Linked DNA regions of Oreochromis niloticus. The protein of the gene in region 3 purifies or fractionates together with the protein of the main gene of each other region. This does not show direct contact. Links are inferred from orthologs where the notes say so. Each region holds a gene or a part of one and is shown on either strand. Other genes may lie near its edges.

What was found.
Region 1: the proteins of erlin2 (region 3) and tmem259 purify together in Homo sapiens (affinity purification with mass spectrometry; 3 studies listed by BioGRID and IntAct, with this or other methods). This does not show direct contact. The link is inferred for Oreochromis niloticus from reciprocal best matches to the Homo sapiens genes ERLIN2 and TMEM259.
Region 2: the proteins of erlin2 (region 3) and insig1 purify together in Homo sapiens (affinity purification with western blotting; 4 studies listed by BioGRID and IntAct, with this or other methods). This does not show direct contact. The link is inferred for Oreochromis niloticus from reciprocal best matches to the Homo sapiens genes ERLIN2 and INSIG1.

The regions. Positions count from the first base shown.
Region 1 is NC_031986.2:36,032,775-36,040,599, forward strand, and holds the start of tmem259 (membralin), read left to right. Parts: upstream 1-4,825; 5' UTR 4,826-5,125; intron 5,126-7,825. UniProt on the Homo sapiens protein: May have a role in the ERAD pathway required for clearance of misfolded proteins in the endoplasmic reticulum (ER). Promotes survival of motor neurons, probably by protecting against ER stress.
Region 2 is NC_031974.2:16,865,530-16,873,134, reverse strand, and holds the start of insig1 (insulin-induced gene 1 protein), read left to right. Parts: upstream 1-4,605; 5' UTR 4,606-4,728; intron 4,729-4,968; 5' UTR 4,969-5,111; coding exon 5,112-5,116; exon of another isoform or gene 5,117-5,143; intron 5,144-5,228; exon of another isoform or gene 5,229-5,233; coding exon 5,234-5,340; intron 5,341-5,440; coding exon 5,441-5,791; intron 5,792-7,365; coding exon 7,366-7,490; intron 7,491-7,605. UniProt on the Homo sapiens protein: Oxysterol-binding protein that mediates feedback control of cholesterol synthesis by controlling both endoplasmic reticulum to Golgi transport of SCAP and degradation of HMGCR.
Region 3 is NC_031977.2:6,880,836-6,888,361, reverse strand, and holds the start of erlin2 (erlin-2), read right to left. Parts: upstream 3,006-7,526; 5' UTR 2,995-3,005; coding exon 2,858-2,994; intron 1-2,857. UniProt on the Homo sapiens protein: Component of the ERLIN1/ERLIN2 complex which mediates the endoplasmic reticulum-associated degradation (ERAD) of inositol 1,4,5-trisphosphate receptors (IP3Rs) such as ITPR1.

The DNA of each region.
Region 1 (7,825 bases), on a different chromosome or scaffold from region 3:
AACATGTTATAGAATAACATCCTGAAACAATCGGTCTGTAAATACGAGGCGGTCCGTCCTGCTGTTCCCGTGTCCATGTGTTGTTGCATGTGATGTTTCTAAATCGGCGCGCTCTCATCTGAATGTAAAACCATGAAGCATCATATGAGTGTATAAAGTGCTGCTATAAAAAGAGCTGAAGAAGCTGTTTCAGGTGCATGCTCTGTGGTTCCAATTAAAGCTTGTTCTTCATCACTGTGTCTTCCTCTTTTCTTACAATGATGCCTTCTTGGCTCTCAGTAATAACTGTTAATCCCAGTTGTTTCCTGTTATGCAGAGGATGAAGCCGATTCTGTGCTGCACTAACTTTTCCACAGATGATGTGATGAAGACATCCCTCAGACTCTTCGTCAACTCGTTAATTTCCTCTTTCATCCTCTCTCAGTCTCTCCATCATTTGAGCTTCCTGGAGGTTTTGGTCCCATGGGGAGTTTGCTTAAACTGACCAATTAGTGCTGAGAGACCAGCAAGGCATTTACAGGCCAGAGCACTGCCTTGAGACACTATTAAGAACCTCCAGTCCAACCAATCTCAGCTCAACTGGGTGGGACGTACAGCTCATTCAACATCTCACTATTATCAGAACATCTTCAGCATCAGCGTGAGGATGACGGTGGTTTTGGCGCTCCTGAGTTGTTCATCATAAATTATGATGGCGCGCTCAGAGCTGCCATCATGACTCGACCCTTCGAATTGTCACAGACTCTCAGCAGGACCTTCTTCATGTTTTCAAAGCCTAAACAAGAAAAGGATGCTCTCTCTGGTTCTCAGCCTTCATCACAGTGAAAGCACCTGACCAGCAAGTCCAGGACAATGGCGTTTTGTACCTCGGCTCATGCTATACTCAAACAAAAAAGCTGAAACTGATCTCAGAGGTCAGGAGAGCAGTCGCCCCCTGTTGGGTGTTAGAGAGAATATGTCGATCTGCATCCGTCTTTATTTACAGTGTGGGGGAAAGAAAAGAGACATGAAACTGCATCATCACTGATCAGAGTATCAATCAGTTATTGATGATTATTAGTTAAAGTGCTGAGCTGAACCAGCTGGGCTTTTAAACATGTTTCAGCTCTTCTGAGGCAGATTGCTGATGGGGAGTCGTGGGTGTTCAACCTCCAGCAGGTACAGCTTTGTATGTGGCAGCTGTTTCCTGTCACCATAGTGCAGCGTCATGGCCAGCCTGGAAAACCTGGAATTTTCTTAAAACCCAACAGCTGTTGGTTTTTACAGAATTGCATGCAGTTACATTTGTGTGGCCGAATACCAGCATTGCCCCAGCCCATCATCATACGAGTCATTAAGATCACACAGGTTAGGGTGCAGATGGTGGTTAAGTTGCCCAGGGAGGGGCCTCAGGGTTACAGGGGGATTATAGGTGCTGTCAGTCCTCCACCTATCAACAGCTTCATTAGGACTGAGCAGGTTGGAGACACCGATGTCCAGCTCAGGTAAGTCAGGTGACCACATCTGTCTCACAGAGGTTCAAGGATCAATAGCAGAACCAATCACACACGCAAACAAGCTGCCTAATGTCCTGCACCTTCAGCTCATTATGCAGTTTCCATGGCAACAGTGATGTTGAGATAAGATCCAACACACATCACTCCCTCCTTTAGCAGTCCCCACACTCGCCCATGCCTCCATCTCCTCCTGTCACACGGACCCTCTGCATGGCCTTCACTACATCCATGAACCTCTGAGCTCTTTCTCTTCTCCTCCTCCCTGAAGCTCCATCTTCATCTTTCACCCTCCTTCCTCTGCACATGCATGCCTCTCTCAGCCTTTCTGACTTTGAGCCGTCTGTCTGATGGACTCATTTCTGATCCTGTTCATCACAGCAGGTCTCACCGCCATCTTTAAACCTTCCCTTTCAGTCTTGCTGCTATCCTTCTATCATGAATCACCCTGACACTAATCTCCACTTGCTCAACCCTGCATGCATTTCCTCACCTCTCTGTGGATGGCTTAGGCGCCCCCTGCTGGATGCAGAAGTTCATCACAAATTTTGTCTTTGCAGGACCTCAGTTCAAAAACCCCGACTAGAATCAAACCAGGATGAACACACACACACACACACACACACACACACACACACACACACACCTCCCTCCCACTCATCTCACTCTTCATTTCCTGGAGGCCATCCAGCAGCCAGGGTGTTACCAAGGCAACAGAGACTGGGAAAATGTGTGTGTGTGTCCTGATCAGGTTTTCTGCTGACAGATGGCGCCCCCTTCAGTCTGACAGTGGAAACACAGCTTCCGTCCAGGGAGGAATTGATCAGTGATCAGTGATTCACTATGAGTTGAGTCTGATAAGAACACATGCTGTGATGTCATTCAATAAAACTTCATTTACACACCGTCAGCTCACAGCAGACCGTAAAGAGTGTAAAGGACAAGGGGTGGAGTCAGAAACCACGAGGCCCACCTGCAGAAACGTACAGAGAGAATGAGTCTACAGCAGCATAAGTAGATCAGGTTTGCTTATCAGGACTGACTGTGATGAGTGTGGAGACTGAAGCTTTCAGTTCCTGTGTCTTTTTGGCTCCTGGTAATCTCACCTGATTGTGAAGCTTCATCTGAAATAATATAATTAACTTCAATAATATATCTCAATTACTGTATTTTTGACTGTTCACTGTCAATCTGCACACTGCTAATTTCTTTAGTTTTGTTCTTCTATTTGGTCAGGAATTGCACAGCAATAAGGATTTCACTTCATGTCGTACTGTGTATGATTGTGTATGTGAAAAATAAAATTTAAATTTGAATGAACTTTGATGTGAAACCTCAGAGTTTCTGACCTAGAATAAAGTTAAAAAAGAGTTTTCATTCTGACAGTTAAACACCTGCCCTGTTTCTGATGTCTGAGGATGATGATGAAAGATGACGAGAGTAATGAATATCTCAGGTTTGAGGATTTCACATCTTCAGTCTATTTCAGGAAAAACTGATGAATCATTGGCCACATTATTAAGTATTATTAGTCCCTTATTTATCCAGGTAAAAAATCTCATTGAGATTAAAAATCTCATTTCCAAGAGACACTAACTTCACTCAGAGACGGAGAAAGATAAAAAAGACAGGACAGGAGAGGAGAGGAAAAAAAAGAGGTTAGATTTAAAGATCTGCTCATATAAAGCTTACATGCAAGTCCTCGTGTTTAATCACATATTGTTTTTGATGTGTTTTTATAAATTATGTATTTTCATTTTGTGAAACTTCCTGTGAAACAAACTAAGTATACTAATTTTGTGTTATTCAAATGTTTTCTGACAATTCTGGGGAGTTTTGTGTAGGATAAACAGGTTACTTTGCAATACAGTGGTGAATTCACAGTAAAGCACTTTGCTGTGGTGCACTTTGCTATGGTGCTGTGGTGATCAGTGTTCAGCAGCATGTAGCAGAGATTAATTTACATGTAAGATGATGATGTTTAGATTTGTTCACTGAATTCAATTGTTATAGTGACTTTATACTGTCTGGTACAAAGATGGCATTCAGTATACTGTTAATGTAGAAATCAGCCGAGACAGCTGCAAAACATCTGCTCACATCTGGTTGAATTCAGGTGTGTAAATCCACAAAGAGCAGCCGGTCAGCTGATCACAGCCTGTACATAATTTTACGGATTTGTTGTTAGCGCTACTTTGTTGTACTTTGTCTGAAGGTGTGCTAAATTTATAGTTTTTTATTTATAATTTTTGTCTGACCTGTCAGGGACTACAGATGAAAAGTAGCCTTCTGGCTAAATCTGGCATATTTGCATTGATATATGTTCATTAATACACACTGTCCCTTTTAAATCAATAAATGTAAAACAATTCAAACACTAAGAAAATCTGCTGGAGCTGTCAATAGAAATGATTGTGAGCGGAGTATTTTCCCCACACAGATCTTAGGGTTCCTCCACCTGCTCAGTCAGCTGAACGATGTGAATGCATATCGTATGAAGTATGAAGATGTTTTATTGTTCTGCTTGATGGAGAGACCTCCATCCTCATGGGCAGAGTTCACCTTGTCAAAGTGGGTGGGAACAACCCAACACCTTTAGTTAATGAACGGTTAAATCTGATTAGATTGTAATATGCGTGAACCAGCTGATCACTTAGCTTCCAGTGACAGCATGGAGACACCTGTTAAGTAATGATGACGTGTGACATCAGCTTCGTCACGTCTTTATCTCGTCCCTTTGAAACATTCACATATAGAAACGTGTGACAGGAGCTGAAGCTGTGTAATGTTTAAGTGTGAGGTAATCAGTCAGCTCAGCAAATATGAGCAACACAAACTGTGTCTGTGCAGTTTATCAGGTCTGAGAGTCCAGCTGCTGTATTTACACACACTCAGGGTCTCTGAGAGGACGAGAAGCTCCCATGTGCTGTTCAGAGGTCTTAATCAGACATTAGATCTGTTATATGAAGAACACGCCGTACTGGCAGCTCAGTGCTGGTTAGTCTACAGTGATTGGCTGATGCAGAACAGCTGTTCAGTGTGACGTCTGTGAAACGTCTTCTCAGATCCACAGAGAACAGCAGGTCAGCTGATCACAGCCTCACATCATGTAACTTATTTCTGTGATTCTTCCCCCACCTTCTCACCCGAGGCTCCTCCATCAGCTCAATCCCAGTTTTTGGACTCGTGACACTCGTGGACCAGTGACGTATCAGCTGTTCACCGTTAATAAACGTGCAGAAGCTTCCTACCAGCACGAGGCGCCTGCCAGGCAGCGCTCAGGGACATAAGAACCCCAGCCGTGGTTCACTACTTCCGGTATTAGGACGTGTATTTCCGGTCTGAGTGACGCTCTGACAGTAGTCAGACTCTTATCCTCCGTTAGCTTGTGTTAGCCGCCGTTTAGCCACAGTTTCCGGGTTTTGACCTCACCTTGTACTCCGGTTCCGTGTACCCGGACCCTCCGTCCTTTCACCTGTCGGCTGGGACCGAGACGGCTCCCGGTTCTGTCCGGTCCGGCTGCCTCCGGACTCCGCCTTTAGCCGCAGAGCTAACCCTGCTGCTAGCGCTGCTAACTGCTAACTGTGGCGTTCGTGGGTAAGCGAGAGAAACAACGAAGAGGCCGCGCACAGGTGAGTCAGCGTCACCTGCCGCTGGTGAGGGTGTCTATGGATTACACACGCGGGGTGGCGGGGCGGGGGGACAGCTGCTTGAAGCAGCCACCACACACCTGAGCCTGCCAATCAGGATCAGCTGATCAGAATACACACACACACACCACATTTCCGGGCTGACGATCAGCTGATCACATCACCTGTCCTGAGGCGCAGCAAGTGGAGCAGTGAGAAACTTTATTTATTTTCGTTAAACTTTATTCAGACAGGAAGTTAGTGAGGATCAGACTGAGCTCAGAGGCTCCTCCCGCTCTCACAGGTAGCTGCATGTTCTTCAATGTCCAGGAGTCCCCTGCAATCCTGAGCTGGTCACGTGGTGAACGATCATGTCACACCCTGAGACCCTCATAGTCTTGTTATGGTGACCCTATGGTCCCAATCCTGCTGTCTTTATGGCAAAAAGTCACTAAATGCCACTTCCTGTTTCACCTGAGACCTCACAGACTGTAAATAAAGATGGAGAGCTGCATGCTCTCTGATGTCCAGGAGGGGGGCGCCTGCTGAGGTTCCCACACTAAGAACAGCCTCTCACACCTGTCATTGAGAGCGGCCTCAGGTCTGTGGCTCACAGGTGAGATTAATGGAGACATGAGTCAGCTGACTCAATGCTGATGAACCACATGTCTCAGATGTTCTTCCTGAAGTCATCAGTATTTATGTGTACCTGTGGGGCGGTGGGGGGGGATAAGCTGGTCTGTGGTGTCTCACCTGGAGATCGTCAGGCTGCAGCTGGAGGATGCAGAAGATCCTGGTGATCTCAGTCTGTAGTTTTTGCAGACCTGCTGCCACAGCTTATCCATCATCATCATCATCATCATCATCATCAGTCTGAGCTCACCTGAGCTCCAGGAGTTTCCTTCATGAAGGAATTTAAAAGTATTCCCTCAGAAAACATCTAAACCTCTAAAAACAGCTCCCTTTACCCGTGAAATCACGGTGGTAAGAAATGCTGGTCGGACTCAATGTGAAGCTTGGATTTTGGATGCTGGGAGGGGAGAAGATGAAATGAAGAAGCGATCCTGACGTGCACACTTAGGTGCAGTCCTGCTACTTCCTGTTTCCTACTTACCTGTCACTGTCATTTCACTGCTTGTGTTTTTAGGATGGGCTGATTCACTATTTACTGTTGCTGTTACTAGGGATGAACATTTATAAGAATTTAGCAATTCTGATTCCATTATTGATATCACTTATTGATTTGATTCCTTATTGATTCTTATTGGCTGTGCTTTGAGAGTCTCCACCATATCAAAGACATTAGCCATGCACATTAACTGCACCCTGTGGGTCACATGTTTGTCCATGTTGACGGTATTTCCTCTTTTTGTTATGATCAGTGCTGGAGTCATTACTCAAGAAAAGTAATCTATTACTCATATTACACAGAATATTTCCTTAAAAGCTATGTAATGTGTGACTTAATTACTCTCTGGAGAAGGTCATTCACTACATTACTCATTACATTACTTTCATGTTACTCCTTAAAATGACCTGAAACACAATGTCTCATAATTACGATTTAACAATATAAACATGCTCATCAGTTTGTTACCTGCAGTTCAGGCTGTGGCTGCTGCGCTGAGGTCTGCATATATCACTCTGGGTTCCTGGCCTGCTTAGCGTTAGCATGCTGGCTGCACAGGTGCTTGTAAAGAGCCATTGTGTTAGAAGCATAATGCAGTTGTTTCTGTCCCGCACGCAGTCTCCACTTTACCATCTTGCTCTTGTCCTTTTGTGGAATAAAAAGAAAAGTATCCATGCTGTAGACTGAGCTGCTATTTTCCTCTGACACAAGAATTGAAATCAGCTGATCGTAGTGTGAGTACAAGAATCCGTAAGCGGAATTGATAGCTCCTGGAATTCTAAGGAATTGGACAACTGTGAACTGGTCCTTTTACAAGAATCTGTACAATTCTGATCCCTAGCTGTCATTAAATTGAGCCTGTCTGTTTCCTGCCTCACTCCCACTTTAATATCAGCTGCTAGCTTTATGATAACAGTTAGGTTGGGGGAAGAGCTAATCCTAACACTAACCTGTCGCAGGCAGGTAAATGTTTAATAAAAAAGGAGCTTCTCTGAATTCATTAAATTCCTCCTAAAGATGGACTGACGGTCTCTAAGGTGCTTCTTCAGGTTTACTACTGTCCACCTGCTGCTAGTGATGGGAGGAGCTGTGTCAGCTTGAAAAGTTGAGGATGATGCTGCTGTTATTGATGCAGAGGAAAGTAATCGATAGTTTTTTGGTATCAGTTCTCTTTGCTAGCCTTGCTCGGTACACACTCTGCATTGCTGAGGAAAAAATAAAGTACTGCCGTTGGGGGTGGGGGTTAAGTTCTTCAGCTCAGTCTTTCTCTGTAATAAAATCAGCCACTCTGCTGAGATCGCCCTCAACACTAAATGTGATTGGTCAGATGCTGACACCTTTGACTTCTGGTGTCAAGCAGGTTCAGGTCCTAAAGCACAGAGATTAGATCATCAGTGTCTCTGTTTCTCTGATCTGATTAAAAAAAAAATTACCTGCAGGTTATTGATCTCATGTCATCTGAGTGGATGAAAGGTTGGATCGGTTGTTGGTGATGCCTGCTGGTCCCGCTGAACTCTGGGTAAAAAGTCTGCAGGTGAACTACAGAGATGACTTTATTTAAACAAGCCATGTTA
Region 2 (7,605 bases), on a different chromosome or scaffold from region 3:
AACACATTCTGCCATCTATAGGCTGTGCTGTTTGTTATCTCGCTATAAATTTAAAGTAAAATAAACTTTATTTACAAAGTGCTTTTCAAAAAAAGTCACAATTACTATACAACAATTAATATCTTCTTGATGCATTCTCAATCATCCAGGAAAGTAAATCTCCAAAAGTTGAATCTGTTCATCTGGACGTAGCGTTTTGTGGGAGAAACGTTTCGTCACTCATCCAAGTGACTTCTTCAGTCTCAGCTGACTGCAGGTTTCCCTAAACCTTATAAACAGTACATTTGCATAATGACTGAAACCAGCCCACTGAAGGAACAATGGGCTGTGAGGTCAGTTCCTTAATCATAATTATGCAAATTCCCATGACCATTGATCAACAATCACTGACCAAAACCCACTGATCAAAGAACACTGATCAATGGCCATGAGTACCATTCACAGAGAGTTGGGGAATGGCTGCAATCACAGCATTGTAAGATGGCGAAAGATGTACCCTTAGGCCCCCTCCTCGATTCAGAGATGGTCTTTCCCTTTTCACGTAAATGGCCTCCTTGACTCCGCGCTCAAACCAGCGTTCTTCCCTGTCCAGGATGTGTACATCCTCATCGTTGAAAGAGTGTCCACTGGCCTGTAGGTGTAAATAAACTGCAGAGTCCTGGCCTGACGAGGTAGCTCTTCTGTGTTGTGCCATCCGCTTCGCTAGAGGTTGTTTGGTTTCCCCGATGTATAAATCCTGGCAATCCTCCTGGCACTTAACAGCGTACACTATGTTACTCTGTTTGTGTCGGGGGACCCGATCCTTGGGGTGGACCAGTTTTTGGCGCAGCGTATTTTGGGGTTTAAAAGCCACAGAGACCCGGTGTTTAGAAAAAATGCGTCTCAACTGTTCCGATACTCCTGACACATACGGGATCACTACAGGTTTTCACCTGGGCAGCGGTTGTCCTTCTCTCCTGGATCGGCTGGAGCTTTCTTTAGGTGCCTTCCCAGCTTTGACAAAAGTCCAGCTAGGATATCCACATTTACTCAGGGCCTTCTTGATGTGCTGTTCTTCTGCCTCCCTGGCTGCTGTGTCAGTGGGGATGGTGTTCGCTCTGTGTTGTAGCGTCCTGATGACACCCAGTTTGTGCTCCAGTGGATGATAAGAGTCAAACCTTAGATACTGATCCGTATGCGTAGGTTTACGGTACACGTCAGCTTTTAGATGTCCCCCATTACTGATGGAAATCTCACAGTCTAAGAAGGCTAACCTGCCACTTTTCATATCCTCCCTGGTGAATTTGATGTGTCGGTCCACCGAGTTAATGTGATCCGTGAAATGTAGTACGTCCTGAGATTTGATTTTCACCCAGGTGTCATCCACATATCTGAACCAATGGCTTGGTGGTGTTCCAGGGTAGGATAGCAACGCCCTCTTTTCCACTTCTTCCATGTACAAATTGGCCACGATGGGTGAAACTGGGGAGCCCATGGCACACCCATGTTTCTGCCTGTAGAACTGACCCTTGTATGTGAAGTAGGTGGAATGAAGACACAGTTCCAAAAGCAAACACACTTGGTCGATGCTGAGAGTGGTCCTGTTGCTGAGGTTGGTGTCATCCTGTAATCTCTTACGGACTACCTCCAACGCTTCCGTGACTGGGATGCAAGTGAAGAGAGATGTAACGTCGTACGAGACCATGGTTTCATCTGCCTCCATAATGACATCTCTCACCTTCTCAACAAAATCCAGGGTCATGGGAATTTGCATTATTATGATTAAGGAACTGACCTCACAGCCCATTGTTCCTTCAGTGGGCTGGTTTCAGTCATTATGCAAATGTACTGTTTATAAGGTTTGGGGAAACCTGCAGTCAGCTGAGACTGAAGAAGTCACTTGGATGAGTGACGAAACGTTTCTCCCACAAAACGCTACGTCCAGATGAACAGATTCAACTTTTGGAGAACAATTAATATCAATAGAGAACCATGCTAAAATAGAATAAAAAGGTAAGCAAAATGTATTTATATAGAGCTTTTTATCTGTGCAAAGCAATAAATATCTAGCAGAAATCGATAAAAATATAAATACCAAAAGAATCTCAACAAAAGGCGTGATAAAGCGGAAAGGTTTTCAACTGTTTTCTTTAAAAGGATTCTACCGAATCTGCTAACAAGGGGTGAAGTATTAAATTGTTTCATTGCCTTGATGCACAGACTAAGAGGATCTGTTCTCCTATGGTCTTCGGTCTTGTATAACGGAAAACTGATAGATTTTGAGCTTGTGAGAGAAGATAGCGAACAGCTGTGCATTTAACAAGAAGTTGAGATATAATATAGTCTGGAACATGTCTGTTTAGTGCTTCAAGTGTGAGAATTTTAAAAACGTGATTCAAAATCAACCGGGAACCAATGTAAAGAGAATAAAATTGGAGTAGTGTGAGCTTGCTTGCTAGAGCATTTTGTATTGCTTGGAGGTGTAAAAGAGAAGAGATGAGCCAGTAAATAGGGTATTACAAAAATCTCGGTGCAATGACACAAATACATGACTGTAGATCACAATTTCAAAACGTTCCTTAAATGAAAAAAATGAAGGTGAAAAAGATTTTATATGTTCTTTTTTCTCAGACCGTGCAGGAGTCAACAGGATTCCTCTGGTTAAAAGAGTTTCCAACTGCTTGCTCAAAGTGAATCACTGAGGTTTTCCATCCACGATGTTCTAAAGTATACTGCTTAGACAACAAAAAGTCAGGCACTCTATAATTTCGTTGGACTACCTTTAGCTTATAATGAAGGCATGTATTCGACCTGGCGTTATTTTGATAAGCAGAATCAGACTGCTGGGTAAAGTCTTTTCCAGCACATCCCAAAGATTCTCAGTGGTAAAGGTCTGGACTCTGTGGTGGCCAATCCATGCATAAGGCTGCACAGCTGTACAGCTACACACCCCAATTCCTTCAGTTCTTTTCATTGTGTGTGTGTGTGTGTGTGTGTGTGTGTGTGTGTGTGTGTGTGTGTGTGTGAAAATGCTTTTACTATCCCTTTTAACATGGCCATGAGGTTTATTGTTGCTGTTTTTATTTAATTTCACCAGATGTTTAAGTGAAATCCAATCACGATCACTCAGGATTTTTATCCAATACCATTTCTTCCTCAAAGGTGCCGGTTCATCAATAACCTTCCAGGTTTTAACAATACAGTTAAAACCTGGACAGTTCTTAACGAGAAGCTTCTCGCTGCTTCAGTTAGGGTTAAAAAGCCAGCTGAATCATATTGATCCCTGCATAAATTCTGGTTAGTTAAATACAAGCGGTGCCTTTTGTTTTTTTTCACTGGGCGGTGTATTTAACTGAGTAATAATACTCAGATTCTGTGGGACCAATAACATAACTATGAAAAACAGTGTGAATCCAACAAGTAGATGTTGATACATATAACAGGATAACTGCTGCCTTTAATCTGTTTGTGGTGCTAGAACAAAAGTCAGAGAATCAACAGACTCATTATGATTTGACCCCTGAAGACTCTGATTTTCTTCACCAAATTTCATGGCCATGCAGCCGAAGTGGTGAGGCAACCAAACCCTAGAGCCAAAAACCACTAGCAAAACTAAAAAGTCCTTGGTGTGCCCACAGTGTTACCATGTCCATTATTATTATTATTAGTAGTAGTATTATTATAAATACAGTTATTTCCATAAATACTCCTGATAAATCGTACATTGTTTTTCTCCACACTGCACATCAAATCAGCCATAACTAAGAAGAGATAAATTCGGCAGCTGGTTGGAAGCTTTGAAGCTGAACATTGGGTGAAAACCAACATTGCACCCTGATTTAGTGCCGAACTCTCTACATTTGAACACCACAAATGTGCCAAAAACACACACACACGATTAATATAATACCCCCAAAATACCAAGAGCACTGTTAATTACACCCCCCAAAAAAGACATTTAATTAAACCTAATTGAAATGAAATGCTGTCACACTGATACGGTCTCTGTTTTTGTTTACCACATTTGCTCCAGGTCATGAGGCATCAACTCACTTTTTCCAAGTCTTATTTGCATAAAGAAATGATTCATCCATGGTATTGCTTTCTAAGTGCCAGAAGCTGATATTATTAAGTAAATGTGACTCAGGTTTTTTTTTTGGGGGGGGGTTACAAAGTGAAAAGAACGGAAAACGTTTGATTAATCTTTTTTGGAAACACAACAAGTGAGAAAGCTTGCACGGGAGTAGATTTTCATCCACGTGCGAGGTGAGGTTTTCCTCGGGCTCAGAAGCAAAATGTGCTCCGGTAGTCGCATGTGCCCTGCTGCACGTATCCAGCAGGAGGGTGTTTGTTATTGTACTGACCTACTCACGACCGACTGGATAACGCAGATTCTTGCAAAACACGTTTTCGCGTTGTTGTCGAACGAGCCCCAAAAGTCTACATGTGATCGGGGTATTGAACCTTTCAGAATACACGTTATCTCTAACAGACGTGCGCTGGCACTACACGCCCTCCCGAGCCTCCTTCCAAGCCACACCTCCTCTAAAGTGACCCAAAGTTTACCGGTTTGTTTGTTTTTTTTAAACAAACGAACTGTGCCACTGACCCCATTTCCCAAAGGCTTGATATATAAGGGTGCAGAGGACTGCTGTGAGTTTAGTTACAGACGAAGAAAAGCAGCGTTTGTTTAGAGAATATCAGTGAATAATTCAACACCTAAAAGGGGTGGAGCGTGAGATCTGCCTGGTAAACGCACATTTACCTTTAAAAAAATGAGTAATATTCTAGTTGAATATAAAGCTAAAATACAGCTGTGGTACTGTGGTAGTTAAGTCATAGTTACTACTTTTATTCCGTATGTTTTTAACCGGCTCCTCTGTCTCTTAGACTTCTTTTTTACTTTCTTGTAAACTATCATAGAGAGAATACGGGCTTTTTTTTAAAGAGCCGCTGTTTGGCGTTTCCACTTTCACTTCTGCTCTCCAGCCTCCCTGTTTGTGCGTCTGTCCCGGACGAAGTGGGCGGTGGGGTGGCGTCACGTCATATCAGCCGCCTAGCTCTGATTGGCTGCCGATTCTCACCCGACACAGCTGTGATTGTTTTCTGCAGAGGAAGCTCTCGTCGGTGGTATGAGGTCTGTGCGGTGGAATGGAGGAGCACTGTGTGTTTTTTCTCTCTCGCTCTGCGTGTGTTTGCTGACGATGATGTGAACAAACAACGTGACTGCAGTTCTCTTGTTGTAAAAGAGCAGGAAAACGAGGAGGGGGGATCCTGGCTTAAATCTGCTTGCCGAGGCGCGAATGAACAGGAGAAGAGGATTCTGCTTGGAGCTGACTCTGAAGACGTCTGGAGATCAAGGTAAGCAGCCGGAACAATTTTTTAACAATTTCTTCGATTTTTTTCTTTCAACGTGAAAACAGTGGAACTCGTGTGTTGACTGTCGCGTTTCCTTTTCTAGCTTTAAAGTGCCAAATGCCTAGGCTGGAGGAGCATTGTTGGAGCTGCTCCACTTCATCAAAGACCGAAACTAAGCACCCATCATCTGGCGCAAACTGGTTGGCATCCAGAGCTGAAGAGATGATGTCGATCATCACATCGGTGCTCAGCAGTGCCTACATCTCCCTGCACGACGTCCGAACGGCCAACCTGATCCGCCGGGGTGTCGTCCTCTTCACGGTCGGAGTGTTCCTGGCCCTGGTGCTCAACTTGCTCCAGATACAAAGAAATGTTACCCTCTTCCCCGAGGAGGTGATGACAACTTTGTTTTCGTCCGCATGGTGGATCCCACCTTGCTGCGGTACAGGAGCCGGTGAGTGAATAAAAGGCTGATTTTATAAAGCTTAGTTGGTGCTTTATAAACGACCCTGCAAGGGTAGTTTTACCCGGGTGATCAGTAGTTTGCGGCTAATTTGGGGACAAAGGAATGCAGAGAGGGGAGGAGTTAGAGCGCAACAGCCTTCCCTTATAAAGAGAAAATGACACTTTAAATAATATGTGGTGTGTTTTACCGCTTGTGTATATAAAATGGGCTCTTATGGTCAGGAAATCCCCCTTTGTGAGCTGGATTTTGCCATAAGCAGCAGAAATTTAAACCGCATACAGCAGAAGCACATCCCTTTTCTCATCACCACTGTCAGCAGCATTTGTATGATCAGATGACAATGAATCACCATTCAGTTTTGTTTTTGTTTCATATTAATTATGACTCAGTTTTGAAGGCATCATTAAGTCTGGCTGTTATCAAAAAGTAAAAAAAAAAATGGCTTGGAACGGATGTTGTTTTTTATTGCGCTCTGATTGGTCGCAGCAGCCGGACACGAGGCGAGCTGCGAGCTCATTGGATGGTGTCATAACGGGTGAGCTGAGAGGGGAGGTACTTTTAAGGCCAGAAACAGGGAAGTGAGGGAAAGAAAGAAGCGCGTAAATGCTTGGCTCCTCCCCCTCCTCTCGTCATTGCATGCTGCAGGACAGAAACAAACCAAGAAATAAGAGATGTAGGCTTATGGCTTTGCACCAGGCTTCCCGTTTTAAAGCCCCAGTGTCATGCAACAGATGAAGAAAACTGTTCTTTACTTTCCCACACCTGAAGGTGATGTCATTAAATGTCTTCTTGTGCTTTATAAATAGCCCAAGAAACAGATAATATTTCAGTTTCCACAACAAGCAACTGCCACAGATCCAGTTTCTGTCAACTATCAGTTCACCAGGACAATTGATTCAGACTCATCTGAGCATGCTATTCCTAGTAGGATTGCAGCTAAAGATTGTCAATGAGGAGTCAAATGAGGTATTTTCTCAGATAAAAGCTTCTTGGAGCCCGAATAAGGTGAAAAATATACTAACAAAAGCTAGAGGGATGAAGTAAATCCTCTGACTTAAGAGCCTGGTATTAAAAAGCATCTGGTGCTTTCTGTGAACAGTTTTGTTTTTTTAAGTGACGAATCGAATGTCAAAATGGTTTCGTATTCATTGTCCCGTGATCCAGGTAATAATTCCTGTAACTCCACTTCTTGTAAGATATCCACTGTGTATTTCCTTTTTACATTATAATAGTGTGGTTACATAGTTTCCTTCACGAATTCTTGGACTTTTAATGACAGTATGTAGAAGAAAATGATTGGTACACACAAAGCAGGGAGTTGCATTAAAAAGTCACACTTAAAAAGTAAAAGACAACTTTAAAATTAAAGCTAATGTTTATGCATATTCCTCATGTGGGGGTTTTGAAGTGCATGTACAGCAGGTGTGTCGCTAACTGTGGAAATGCACCTTCAGCAGTTTGTCTCTATGACACAGTTTGCCCTATTTTTATTTCACAGAAGTTCTGCTTATCTGGCACAATTCAAGACTGTTTGTTCCCTTTTTTGATTTTTTTTTTTGCAGCTGTTATCGGCCTGCTGTATCCCTGTCTCGACAGCCACTTGGGAGAGCCGCACAAGTTCAAGAGGGAATGGGCGAGCGTCATGAGGTGTATCGCTGTGTTCGTCGGTATCAACCACGCCAGTGTTGTATCCTTTCGCCATGTCCCGTGCAGCACTCAAATGCACTTTTGCTACTTTTGTGATACTTTGTTTGTTACAGTAGAGTGGAAAAGTACACCAGTAATTAACTGAAGTTTGGCTG
Region 3 (7,526 bases):
AAAAACATTGATCAGGCAGCTGTGATTGAGCAGTGGTGTAAATCCAACTATTTTCACGGTTGTTGTGGTCGTGATAATTTTGTGAGGCCACATCGAAAAGGCTCGGATGAGCTTTCCAAAGTTCTACAAGTTGTGCCTCCATCATTTGTGTCCAGATCACACGCTGCACAGCCGTGCTACTCCGTCTTTTCACCGACGTTTATGTGTTTGCGTGTGCGCAGTGTGAGCGGCTGCGGTGACACCCTCACGACAGTCGGGCGATTGATGGTCGGGAGCTGGTCATGAGGTGTTAATCGCTTCTCGTTACCCCACGTATACTACACGATGAACGACGCACGATGAAGGCCAAACTCGGGCCGATCACCAAAACGGTCGCACGACTCAAAACTCGGCTCAAAATGGGCCAAAAATCGCACAGTGTAAGCCCAGCATTAATTACTAATTAGATATTTAGATGTATTTAATATAACATGATATAGGATAGATTTCTATATCCAATTGTGGTCAGATGTTTCCATAAAATCATTATGAGCATGAATGTCATTGTAATTTTGTGTTTTTAATTATTTTATTTGAACTGTTCTTTTTCTGGGGTGGAAGACTGTACAGTACACATCTTGGATCGCTTAAAAAAAAAAGAAAGAAGAAAAGTAAGAGTTTGGTGCACAAGTTATTTCTATTTTGGACTTTCTCTAATCCACAAGGCTCACATGTATATACAGGCACAGATTTACACATACAGGCCTGCTTATATTTGGTTTAATGTCTTTTAATTAAGTAGCACCCACAAGCTTTGATATTTGACCACTTTTCGTGGCAGAATTGGCAGAGTTCACTTAAATTATTTGGGTTCCGGCACAGACTCGGCTTTTAAACAGAGTTTCAAGTTTCAATAGGTGAGGTCGGGGCTTTGAGAAAACTACTCCAGAGCATTGACGCTAGACTGTTTTATCTGTTCTAAAAAAAGTTTTAATGTGTGTTTGGGATCACTGTCCTATTTGAACACACAGTTGTGTCCAACTATTAACCATCTAGCTGCTAATTTGAGGTGGAAAATTTGGAGTTAGCCGTCTTTCTTCATTACTCCATCCACTTTGTGCAGTGTGCCAGTAACAGGGCAGCAAAACAGCCCCAGAACATGTCGTCACCACCACCATTCTTGGCAGCTGGTTCAGTAGGTTTGAAAGCCTTGCCTTGACCACTTCAAACATATATTTTGTCGTTGTGATCAAATAACTAAATCTTGGCCTCATCTGACCCTAAAACTTTTCTCCAGAAGGCATTTGGCTTGCCCATGTGGACAGCTGCAAATTTCAGTGAAGCTTGCAGGCGTCGATTTTGGAGCATCACTTCTTTCTTGGTCAACATCCTCTCAGTACATGGTGATGTAAAACTGGCTTTACTGGTATTCCTGCAGTTTCTGGTTGATGGCAGGCTTGAGTCTTAGTAGTTCCTGAACATCCCATTATGAATTTACTCTCATCTGAGGGGTAACAATTTGCCAAGGTCTGGAAGAAGACTCCAAGTGGTGACACGTGTGAATAACTCCACCTACGTACAGCTGTTTGAGATGATGATCCTGGAACGGCTCCAAGAGATCTTCCCAAATTGTGAAATTCTCCTTCTTAGATCTGCACCGTGCTCCTTGAACTTTCTCACTGTGCTGAGTATTAGTGAATACAGTTAGTGCTGCCAAATAAATCTTTTTTATGCTGGCAAAGAGAACCTACCAGTCATGAGGACTAAATTAAAAGTCCTTGGCCTTGTCGAGTTAAAACAAATTGTAGAACCTTTGGCGCCATTTATGGAAAAATCTAAGTGAGTCTATGAGATATTTGAGCCTGTATGTACACTCTTGACCTTGTGTGGATCACAGAAAATCCCAAATAAATTCAAATTTGCAGACCCAACCCTTGTTTTTATAAAATCATTCAAGCTGACTATACAACCATTCCACACTAACAGCTCACTGAAAACTCCAAATTGCATCCATCACATTTATGCCCCTGCCGAGTGTGCGTAAACTTGTGACCACAACTGCAAACTTCCTGTTGACTAACTTGACCTGATGGAGCTAGATACGGAGCCATTGCAGCTTTGCTTAGTAAGGATTTGCAGAGATGCAATCTGGTAACCCTGCTACCTCAAATGGCTTTTATAAATACAATGCTTAAAAACATATGGAGAGATATAATCCAATGTTGATTTCTCTACTGATCTACAACCTTTTGCTTTTTAATATACAATAGTGTTGGATATATTCATTAATGCTGCGCACTTTAAAAACAATGAAACTGGGTTTTCTTCTCGTATTAAACGTTTAAAACAAGTTGTGTGCACAGCTTCCTCTGATAAACGAACACACCACCATTGCAGCATTTCAAAGTTCAAGTTAACGTTGGATTAAATTTAAAACACACTTAGGCGAAACATGTACGCCGAATAATAGGAAAGACCCTAAACATCTGACTGTAGCATGAAAATTATTAAAATGTGACAGCCACCTAAGACATACAACTAAACCAAATGAAAAACTCCAAAAATTTGAATGGGATTCAGATTCATGGGCTTCGTGGCTTAGCAACAGCGGGATATAAGTTGTTACATCATTGCTGCCTCACAGAAAGGAGCCTCTTTCAGTGGTAGATCTTATCCAGATGTTTCAACCTTCACTTGAGTGTCCGTTTTAAAAGCTTAACACGAGGCCAAACACTAAATCATGTTTAGCTAACACTGCTAAGTAAAACAACCTTAGCCAGTCTCTTTCCTTCTAATATGCTAGTGGCATGTGAAACGGCCATGGTACATAGTTTAAATATGCAGAAAGGCACATTTCTGTAGCTCAACAATATCTTACCTGCAGTTTCTGCTAAGATGACAGCAACACAAATAAGAAACACCTCCGGTACTTTCTTTTTCGTTTTCCTTTTGACTGTGCGGCATCTTTTGCTTTTTTGTACCTGCGCCCTCTGGCGGACAACCAGCAAACCGCATGTGCCTCACTGAGCCAGGGCTATCTACGGGGTCAAGATGCAGTTTTGTTATGTTAGTGTTGTAGGCCAGCTGATTCACTGTGTGCGCCACAGTTTTAATATCGTGGGGTTATTATCACGTGATGCTGATTAGGTGACACCTCTGACACCGCCACAACAGGAAAGAGAGCCACAGACTATGGTTAAAACCCAAAGGCCCCTTTTTACAGTGGTTTGCTGTGGAGTTACTACATGTTTGCGCAGACCAAAGCAAATATTTTATAACTGTATATATTTATAGGAGAAGCTAGGATTACCTGTAAATACCCAATATAATGGCTCTTTCAGCACTATCATATAGGCTGACACATTTCGGTCTTATGTATCACTTAAACATCACAGCTCTATCACTAAACGCCTATGTGGTGCTTTTAAATACTAAATACCTAGAGCTAAAGCACAGTTACCGATGAACTTATCAATGTGAAAGTGAATAAAGCATTTTAAATGAAATACTAGTATTCTCCTAATAGGTGCAAGTGTAGAAGAAATGGGTTCTTTCACCAATAACTAAAACTCACTGTTAAATTCACTTTACTTAATGCCCCATATATAGTCTGGGTCAGACTATAGCCTGCATATAAAATATGCAGGCTTTGTATAGAGTATTTGGTTGACCTGTTTAAAAAAAACAAACCCAAAACAAGCAAGTTTTAAAACATGTAACATGCGAGGAAAAATCATTTACAGAGCAGAATGAGGACAGCAATAAGTGCAACTTCAGCTTTTTGTCTTATTATATTTGCCAAAGACGACATGTGTGTGTCATTCTTTCTGTCTGTAAACATGACAGCTTGAAATGTTTTAAATAAATCTCAGCCAGAGACTGAACAGGTTGGTCCGGAGGCCCAGCTCTCTTCTAGGATGCCCTCTGGACCCAGTGGAGGTGGTGAGTGACAGGAGAATGGTGGCTAAGCTGTCTTCCCTGCTGGACAACATCTCCCACCCCGTGCAGGAGACTCTGACAGCACTGAGCAGCTCCTTCAGTGGCAGGCTGCAGCACACACGGTGTGGGACGGAGAGATTCCACAGGTCTTTCCTTCCTACTGCTGTCAGACTCCACAACAAACACTTCACAGCTGACCAAACACACACACATGTGCAATAACACTAAGTGCAATCCTCTTTGTCTGACAACATAGCATAACATGTATGCATCGGCTCACTCCCGGTGGCTGTTTATCGGGGCCTGGCACCTGTGGCTTGGTCGGGCCCCTTCGGGGGGTGGTGTGCCCTCAACCTCTGGGCCTGGGGCTTGGTCCACTCTGGCACAGCTGGCTGCCAGTGGAGCTCGCTGGCATGTCACTACAATCCCCCTTCAGGTGTGAAAACGGGTGTAGGTCACAATCAGCCAGGGTTTCGGGTGAGCTCATTGGGAAACCTGGCCCCACCCTATCATGTGATTTCCTGAGGTCAGATGGCCCAGGATGTGAGTGGGCGTTAAGGCATCTGGGAAGGTATCTCAAAACTGGATTATAGATGGCAGACAGTTGGTGTCTTAAACCACCGCCTCTGTTCAAAGATGGTCGTTCACAGTGGACATAGATGGCTTCTTTTACTCCTCTTTCAAACCATTTGTCCTCTCTGTCCAAAATGTGAACAATGGCATCCTCGAAAGAGTGACCTTTGTCCTTTAGGGGGTCCTTTTGTCCCTCTTGGGGGGACACTCCCGTAGGGTTTAAATCTGGGATTCTCCACCGTGTGACCTTGGAACTGAAGAAGCTTCTCGGATGAGAGGTGAAACATCTTCAAGCAACTTGAATCCAGACACTTTTCTTTCTAAGCTCCTTAGACTACAATGACCTGGATGACTGAGAACCTTCACAGACATCCTATTCCAGTGTTCTTCTTAACTTTTGCTACTGTAACTTTGCACTGTCCATTTTCTGCTGTGACACAACAAATTTCCCAAGTGTGGGACTAATAAAGGTTATCTTATATTATCTTATAAAACCTTGTACAGGTTAGAGGTGGGTCATGTTAACAATCCACTAAAATTTGACGTCTTTTTGATGAGGTCTTCAAGGTCAACTTAATGATTTATTGGTCAAAAATGAACAAAAAAACCTTATAATTTAGAAACTGTGAAGATTACAAGTGTGCTCTGTATTGTCCACATATAGAAAGTACAGTATAAAAAATTAAAATATCATGTCACATTTGACCTTTGACCTCTCATTCAAGATCAATAGATTGATCTGAAGGTCAAAGTGATAATCATGCTATATAGTATTACTATATAGTACAATTTAAAACTATGCAACAGACAAACTGCTACAGTTCAGTGAGTGTTGAAGGAGAACCCAAATGCAGACACAGGAAGGCAGGTGGAAATGAACAAAAGGCAAGTTTTTTATTAAGCTGATGTGAAAACTAGCCACAGAAAAATACAAATTCAATGGGAAAATAAGAACGAAACCAATGTTGAGCAAGAAAACACGAGGGAACTAAACAACACACTCTGCCAAAGGACAGGGGAGACTGAGACAGGAGGGTGATTAGGGGAAGTGGAGACACATGGGAAACACAGCCGGATCAAATCATCAATAACGAGATGGGAAAGTTAGGCCCAACAGAACACACAGTAGACAAGAGAGGATCACAATAAAACAGAAAACATTACTAATACTAAGACTGCGACTAGGATATGCAGACTTGACACAGGGACAGATCCACACAGAGAAAAAACACAGACCAGACAGACAAGGGGGCCTGACCGAGGGAAACAAAGAGATCACAAAACTAAATGTTCCAGACCCAGGAAGGGCCAGAAGATAAACTGAGACTACAAAGGATATGCTAAGAAAACTAACAGATATATTCATTTGTAAAGAGAGACAAACAAGAGTGTAGGATTCTCACAAAAACTTAAGACATCACAAAACCCAAAATCTATAAAGAAATAAGCACAAAGCCTTATTCTCAATACAGGGAACCATACATGGGATTCTAAATATCACATTACTTTGAACCTCTGACCTCTTCTTGAAGGTCAAATATGTATTATTATGACCTTAGATTATGATTAAAATTCTGCTGCCTTTGTTTCTATTGGGAACACTGATAAAATGATGCTGGTTTATGGAGATTCTGAACGTCACATTATAGTTTGCATTAAAATATTATGTCACATTTGACCTCTGACCCTTTTTAATGTTACACAGCTGCTTTTCTTTGACCACAAAATGTGTGTGTGTTTTTTTTTTACTCCACTATAAATTTCTATGAATAGATGCAAAATATAATAATTCCATTTAAAGTGAATACTGGCTTTGGTGCTTCTTGTTTCATGTGCACTGCATTTCACAGCTGATGTTTAAAAGCACAAAACCTTAGCATGTACAGCTTTTGAAAGTACATAACTGATCTTCACTCACTCCACAGCAGGTTTTATGCTTTGCAAAGCCATCCAGAGGGCAACACTTGACCTACTGTAAGACCAGTTCAGGCCCTCATGCTGGATGTTTGATGCTTCCACCGTAAACCTAATAATGCTGGCTGGGTCTGTTGACAAAATCATAACATATCAAATGCCACTGTTGGCTCTATTTTTACACTCCTTGCAGTTGTTGCCATTGCCCATTGAGGCTGCATCAGCCTGAGTTGAGTTTACGAGCTGGAACTCGTACTAACGAGCCCACATAGCATTTGATCCAACATTACGAATTAGAAATGAAGGTGAAAGCTCACAAGTGCAAAGCTTCACCCACTTTCTTTAAGTAAACAGCAGGTGGCGACAGAGACCATTGGAAGAGCACTGCTTCATTTCTCCCAGGACACCATGCAGAAAGCTTCATTTTCCTGCTACTTCAGCCTGCCCAGATTTGAACATTTCACAGGCAGTCCCTGCTGGTGAAACAGATAAGGCTGACCATGGAAAAACCCAACCAAACGAAAGTCTTACGTCTAATAACAAAAATGAAATAGGGGGCAATTAGAAAAGAAACATCAGTTAATCTTTAATCACCAACAACCCACTAGCGGTTGTACACAGCTAGAGGTCTTGACACGTTAATGGTTGTGGTGCTTTATTTTTAGACGTTGGCCTACTGAGAAATTTGCACAGGACTAGAGCTAACCCCAAGGTGCCGCAGTGGCAGCTCTGTGTTGTGCATTTTAAACAGAGAGGGGCGGGGTGGTGGAGGGTAAAGGGAACAACAGAGCAAGGGAAAAGAAGTTTGTCAGAGTTCATTAAGTATCAAGGGAACATCGCTGGAACTGGCAGCGTAAGCCGCGCCGGGGCCCTAGTGCCATTAATCACGACTGACAAGAAACCAGGGGCCGAGGGAGGAGGTGGAGGGGAGTGAGGGGAGGAGAGCTCTGCCAGAGACTCTGGTAGTGATTATAGAACGAGGTCCAGGCAGCCCGGGCCAGGGAAGGTAAAAGACACCGCAGCTGAGGCTGCAAAGTTCAGCTACCTTCATGCAGATCACACTCGCTCGCACACACAGGTAGACGGAGAAGAGAGACGTCAGACTCGAGGCTGCACGGCGG